Linked DNA regions of Canis lupus familiaris. The protein of the gene in region 1 purifies or fractionates together with the protein of each later gene. This does not show direct contact. Links are inferred from orthologs where the notes say so. Each region holds a gene or a part of one and is shown in the gene's direction. Other genes may lie near its edges.

What was found. The genes of interacting proteins can lie anywhere in the genome.
Region 2: the proteins of UBR2 (region 1) and UBE2B purify together in Homo sapiens (affinity purification with western blotting; 3 studies listed by BioGRID, with this or other methods). This does not show direct contact. The link is inferred for Canis lupus familiaris from reciprocal best matches to the Homo sapiens genes UBR2 and UBE2B.

The regions. Positions count from the first base shown.
Region 1 is NC_049233.1:11,452,361-11,455,880, forward strand, and holds part of UBR2 (E3 ubiquitin-protein ligase UBR2), read left to right. Parts: intron 1-1,833; coding exon 1,834-1,943; intron 1,944-2,053; coding exon 2,054-2,134; intron 2,135-2,459; coding exon 2,460-2,638; intron 2,639-3,493; coding exon 3,494-3,520. UniProt on the Homo sapiens protein: E3 ubiquitin-protein ligase which is a component of the N-end rule pathway.
Region 2 is NC_049232.1:22,545,968-22,549,487, forward strand, and holds part of UBE2B (ubiquitin-conjugating enzyme E2 B), read left to right. Parts: intron 1-1,150; coding exon 1,151-1,239; intron 1,240-2,831; coding exon 2,832-2,960; 3' UTR 2,961-3,520. UniProt on the Homo sapiens protein: E2 ubiquitin-conjugating enzyme that accepts ubiquitin from the ubiquitin-activating enzyme E1 and transfers it to a E3 ubiquitin-protein ligase. In vitro catalyzes 'Lys-11'-, as well as 'Lys-48'- and 'Lys-63'-linked polyubiquitination.

The DNA.
Region 1 (3,520 bases):
ATTATCATTTTATATATAAAGTAATGTGATTTTTTTTAAGAAGGCCAGAAGACTTTTCTTTTAGCTTTTTATTGTTAAAAATTTTAAACACAGGCAAATGTTGGTACAGGAAACATCCATATACCTACCACCTAGACTTAGTAGTTAGTATTTTGCTATATTTTCTTTAATATTTGCACACTTTTTTAAAGCATTTGTTTCAGCCATCATATTTCATCTCTAAGAAAAGCCTTTCATATTTCATCTCTAAAGAAAAGCCTTTCCTCTCTTGATTTTCAGAATAAGCATTTGGTCTAATAGTTGCCTTCAGGGGTTACAACCATGAGGCTTCTTTGTTCACTTAGGATTGTTGTGCTTTGCTTTTTAATATTACTCTTGGGTTTTCATTTACTCCATTTTTTATAGTCACATATGATCAAGGTTCCTTTAAAAAAAAAAAAAAAGATTCTTTTTGATGCTCAAATTGCCAGTTTTGGTCAGTGGGAATCTGTTCAGTTGGCTTCCCTGCCCTTTTGACCCTAGCCCGTTAGTATTTGAGCACACCTTACTTTCTGGCACAAAAGATGCCCCAGACTCATCTTATACTTTCCCTGCCCCAGACCTGCAATCCACCATTTGCTCAGATATTTAAATGAATTTATACTAGGAGTTTCAGCAGGTGGTGTAATGGATAGTAATACCCATTATAGGTATTAAACTATAATTTCATCCACGCATCTCTCTATAACATCAGATTCTCTTTGTCTCTCTCTTTCTTTCAGCAATCATTTTCTCTAGAACTTTAGATCTGAACTTTAGATCTGAAAGAATATTAAAGATCACATAGTTCAATCTCTTGCCCTCTTAGGAATATTTTGCCCAAATGGCAGCACTTAAACCAAGAAAGTCAATAACTGGACATTTTTTACTATAAAACTAAATTAGCAAAAAAAAAAAAAAACTAAATTAGCTAACATTTAGATTAAGTGTACTCTTGATGTGGACTTATATGTCTTATATGTCTTTTCCTCAAATAAAGAAATAACTTACAGAAGAAGAAATGCATTTTATTTTAAATCTAGGTTTTATTAAAGGGCCAAAACAAGGGGCACCTGGGTGGCTCAGTTGATTAAGCATCTGCCTTCAGCTCAGATCACGATCCCAGGGTCCTGAGATCTAGCCCCATGTGGAGCTCTCTGCTCAGCTGGGAGTCTGCTTCTCCCCATCCCTCTGCCTGCTGCTCCCCCTGCTTGTGTTTGCTCTCTCTGTCAAATAAATTAATTAAAACCTTAAAAAAAAACAAAAACAGGCCAGGGTAGCCCGGGTGGCGCAGCCATTTAGTGCCGCCTGCAGCCCAGGGTGTGATCCTGGAGACCCCGGATCGAGTCCCACGTCAAGCTCCCTGCATAGAGCCTGCTTCTCCCTCTGCCTGTGTCTCTGCCTCTCTCTCTCTGCCTCTCATAAATAAATAAATAAAATCTTTAAAAAAAAAAAAAGGGCCAAAATAAGTTGATGTATTTTTACACACACATCCTTGTAATCTAGTTCATTTCTTACACTTTTTAAAATCTCAGACCTTTTAGCTGGGTTTTTATTTAATTGCTAAAGGCTATGTTAAAATAATCACTTGGTGTAAGATGTCCATTTTGAATGATTAAAGCATTCTAGTTGTTAACTTGTTTTTAAGTACAGATACATCACATTCTTAAGAAGTATTGAAAATCTCTAATAAGTAGAGCTGTAAATAAATGATGGGCAGATGATGTTATAAGCAACCTTATCTTCTTGTGCATAGTAATAAACACTGTGAAATATTAGTTGTTATTGTGCCTTTTTTTTTTTTTTCTGCCTTAGAACCTGGTGAAGCACCAAACAACTCCCCTAGCATATTAGCTATGCTGGAAACACTACAGAATGCTCCCTACCTAGATGTCCACAAAGATATGATTAGATGGATATTAAAGGTACAATTTCTGGCATCACTTTGCTTTTCATGAGAAACATTCAGTGTTTGTTATCTTTAAATTTTGATAATATTTCATAGCTTCCAAATAACTGACACTTTTTGTCATAGACTTTTAATGCTATTAAGAAGATAAGAGAGAGTTCATCCACCAGTCCTGTGGCAGAGACTGAAGGAACCATAATGGAAGAGGTATAAAAAGCAAATGAGGTCCTACTGAAGGATTGTAGCAAGTTCACTATAAACAACTAAACTTATCTGTAATAAGTTGGTAGTTGATGTTATTCACAAAAAATGTGAATTCCAAACAATGTGCCACTTTTTATTTGTTGTAGCAATTTTTTTTTCTGTGTCTATCCTTTTTTTTAAAACAGGCTAAAAAAATCTTTTCTCTTGTTTAGATAAGTAAGATTATTAAATAGTTTTTAAGTAGTAGTTACAATCAAGACAGTTCTGCTTTGGGGCAAAAATGTTAATTTGGTATCTAATGGTCTAATTAAATGAAGCATACTTTCAGAGTTCAAGAGACAAAGACAAAGCTGAGAGGAAGAGAAAAGCTGAGATTGCCAGACTGCGCAGAGAAAAGATCATGGCCCAGATGTCTGAGATGCAGCGGCACTTTATTGATGAGAACAAAGAACTCTTTCAGCAGACATTAGAACTAGATGCCTCTACTTCTGCTGTTCTTGATAATAGGTAAAAAAATAATTAACATTTTTTTATCTCTTGACCATTGGTTCTCAAATGGGAAAGATGTTGGGTTTTATTCCTTATAAGTCATTTTTAATCTGAAAGTAATTTAGAAGGATTGGTAGGCGAATAGGAATTACCCATAGAATTTTAGTTTTTAGTATACATTTATGAGTATATCTCCAACTATAGATAAGATACCATGTGTATGCTCAAAATGATGTGTCACACAGAACACCCTTGACATTCAAAGAATGAGTGCACAGGGGCGCCTGGGTGGCTCAGTTCGTTGAGCATCCAACTCTTTTTTTTTTTTTTTAAGATTTTATTTATTTATTCATGAGAGACACAGAGAGAGAGGGGCAGAGACACAGGCAGAGGGAGAAGCAGGCTCCACGCAGAGAGCCCGACACAGGACTTGATCCTGGGTCTCCAGGATCAGGCCCTGGGCTGAAGGCGGCACTAAACTGCTGAGCCACCCGGGCTGCCCAGAGCATCCAACTCTTGATTTTGGCTCAGGTTATGATCCCAGGGTCGTGAGATCGAGCCCTGCGTCAGGAATCTCCTTGAGATTCTCTCCCTCTGTACCTCGCACGCTCTCTTTCTCTCTCAAATAAATAAATCTTAAGAAAAAAAAGAATGAGTGTACTAGGCTCAGTTAACTGAGTGTCTGGCTTCTGTGTTGCATATTGGATTGCTGTGAGGGTTATAGGAGATGGTTTCATATATATGAGTGACTTCTACCAGTTCAAATCATCAAAACCACACATGTTTAATATGTACATACCTAAAGTCTACTGCTTTATGATTAAATGGAAACTTCTTAGGCTCATTCATGAAACTTGTATTCTTTTATTGCAGCCCTATGGTTTCAAATATGGCACTTAC
Region 2 (3,520 bases), on another chromosome or scaffold:
GGTGCATGGAGCCTGCTTCTCCCTCTGCCTGTGTCTCTGCCTCTCTCTCTCTCTCTGTGACTATCATGAATAAATAAATAAAATCTTTAAAAAAAAAAAAAAAAAGAAATGACAGTATTTAGATATAATTTGCCTCCTCTTCCCCCCAAAAGCCTTACTTAGTTGTGTCTTTAGGTAGAGGATCTGGCTTGCTCCGTGAAACTTTCCAAAGTTTGAAAGTATAACATTTAAATGCATTTATTCTTTGTCAACACAGCAGTTATGGAAATTTGTCATATAGACAGAGTCCCACAAGCAGGTAAAAAAATTTATTCAGTTTCAGAGGGAGGAGAACCTTCCAAATATTAAAGACTTAAAATCTATTAATCACTTGATTTTTAGTTTATTTTTTGAGTATGAAAGGAATGCATATCGTAAAAACAAATCCTGAAATACAAGAATCCTTTTATTTACAGAGAGCCAGTACTTATATTCTGGCATTTAGTCTTACAGATGTTTTGTGACTACACAAAATGTCAAAATAGTTACGTGGTTCAAATGAAAATATTTAAATATTTTGTAAAAAAAAAGGACATCCTCTAAAAATGGAATCTTAGGTGTAATGCATTGTGGAGGTCTTTCTGCATTAGTTAACAGAAGGTAGATATGTATCATTTCTCTTGGCTACATTGCTGTTGGTTATGTGATATGAATGTACTATTATTTAGCCAGTCACTTCTTTATGAACCACAAGGTAGTTTCTAATTTTATACTCTTATAAACAGTATTACAGTGAACTTCCTATAAATAAAACTTCGTATGTTCACACTTACTTGTTTTAGAAGTAATTTCTGGGAATGTAATTATGATGTTAAAAAATAATTTTTTTTTCCGGAGCTTTATTTAAGGAATTTAGAAATAGGGGATTTAAAAAGATTGTATAGAAGATGGGTATTTGAAAAAATTTAATTGTAGCAAAGCCTCCTGACAAAAAGATGCAAAATAAGAGACCTTAGTTATAACAGTGGTTTTTCTGTGAGACAAGAGGGTTTGGTAAATAATGTTCAAAACTTCTGACTGGGCCAAGCATTCTGTTTGTGGCAAAGATTTCTCTTTAACTGTTAAATATGATAAAGTCAATATGTAACCAATTTTAGTATTGTCTTTACAGTGTATGCTGATGGTAGCATATGTTTAGATATCCTTCAGAATCGATGGAGTCCAACATATGATGTATCTTCTATCTTAACATCAATTCAGGTAAGTGTATGTTAGGTTGCATCATGAATTTTCAAAATTCTGTGGGATAGTCAGCTTCTTTAGGAGTCAGCTTCTTTAGGAGCAGTCTAAAGACCACATGAGCAAACTTTGCTTCCTAGCACCCATGTAACCAATATCACAGTTTAGATAATCCCATGATTTTCAGACAGCTGGTCTGCTTTTCTGTCTCTCTTTCTCTCTCTTTTTTTTTTTTTTAGGTTTTTATTTTATTTATTCATGAGAAATAGAGAGAGGCAGAGGGAGAAGCAGGCTCCATACAGGGAGCCCGATGCGGGACTCGATCCTGGAACCCCAGGATCATGCCCCGAGCCAAAGGTGGATTGCTCAACCACTGAGCCACCCAGACATCCCTGGCCTGCCTTTCTCTTAGTGATCACATTGGATCAAACCTACAGTCATTTTCCTGGTCCTTGTGTAAATCAAGTGTTCTCACAGGTCAAGTATTATTTATGACCATCAAGGATAGCTAGAGGATGTGGAGAAGGAAAACTCTTCTTGGAAATAAAGATGATTGCTTAGAAAAACCATAGTGACCTCAGGAAACTGCCAAGTGCAGAGAAGCATTAAGTATGTTACCCCATCCAAGAAATCCTTTTTTAAAAACAGATAGTGTAACCATTTGCCAAACCAGTCTGGCAGATTATTTCAGAGTTGACCCTGAATGACAGTTTTAGAAGTAAAGTGAGGGATGTTTTAGTTTATGTGGGTGTAAAAGGAGCAGAAGTCAAATTTTGGTTTGTGATATTTTTAAAACTTTTTCTGTTGTATTTCTGCTTTAATTCAAGTCATTGTATAAACATTTTGAACTTCCCTATTTCATTCTCTTGCTGCTAGGTGTATATATTTTCTATATTAAAGGAAACAAGATTCCCTACCCAGCTTACTATCAGACATTTGCAAAGTAAACCATAAAAATAAAGTTTAACTTTGGAAAATGTTAGTTGCTGTGCTATTTCCAAGTATTGTATATTATTATACAATAATTAATATTATACAACTAACTAATGTTAGTTGCTGTGCTATTTCCAGATATTGTATATTAACCAAATCAAGCTGTTTATTTCCTGGCTAATGCTTAAGTATGTTAAAGAAGAATATTCTGGGGCATCCTGGGTGGCTCAGCGGTTTAGCACCACCTTCTGCCCAGGGTGTGATTCTGGATACTCGGGATTGAGTCGCACGTCGGGCTCTCTTCATGCAGCCTGCTTCTCCCTCTGCCCCTCTCTCTCTCCCTCTCTCTCTCTCTCTCTCTCTCTTTCTGTGTCTCTCATGAATAAATAAATCTTAAATATATATATATATATTCTTTTCCAATTTCCTTGAAATTAGAGGTCTGCAGTTGAGTACTGTGTTTTGGAAGCGTCAGTTCTTTAGCAGCAGGAAATTATTAAATTGATCAAGCCATTTCTGAAAGTATTTAAGACCTAAAAATACAGAAGATATACTAATATCTGCCATTTCTTTCCTGAGTAATTTGTTCTTTTATACAACCTCTATGCTCCATATCTGACCCATGTTAATGTAAAGAGCAATTCAACTAATCCTTTTTTCCCTTTTCTCTTTCCTTTCAGTCTCTGCTGGATGAACCGAATCCAAACAGTCCAGCCAATAGCCAGGCAGCACAGCTTTATCAGGAAAACAAACGAGAATATGAGAAAAGAGTTTCGGCCATTGTTGAACAAAGCTGGAATGATTCATAATAGACAACTGGTCTGTTAATTTTTTTCATCATTGTTGTGTATAATTTACCTCTCAGTAGAAAGGCTAACAAATTTTAAGTGCCACAGGTTTTAAGGATTCTGCAGAAAAAAAAAGTCCTTCAGTTTAGAACCTACAAAAGCTTGTGTATCTTGATTAATGTACTTTTTATTGCATGGTGTGAACTAAGTTATTGCTTACATAAATTTGTAATATATCCTGTTTGTATTTTTTTCCAAGTGTATAATGTTGGTGTGGAGTTTTCATGACAGAATAATACACATTTTGTAAATCTGTACTTTTTTCAAATATTGAATGCCTTATTTTTGAATTCTTTAGATTTTTAAATTGGAGAAAAGCACTTAAAGTTTTTTATATATGAATATTACATGTAAAGCTGTTAAAATACATAACTTCAGTGCAAGAGACTTTGTCACTTATTTCCTTATCTGTTTAGGAGGGGTTAATAAGTCTCTAGCTCTCCATCAATTGATAGTAGTTTCATTTCCAATTTCAAAAGAACAGATTTATATTTTATCAAGAAATTCTTCAAATTTGATTC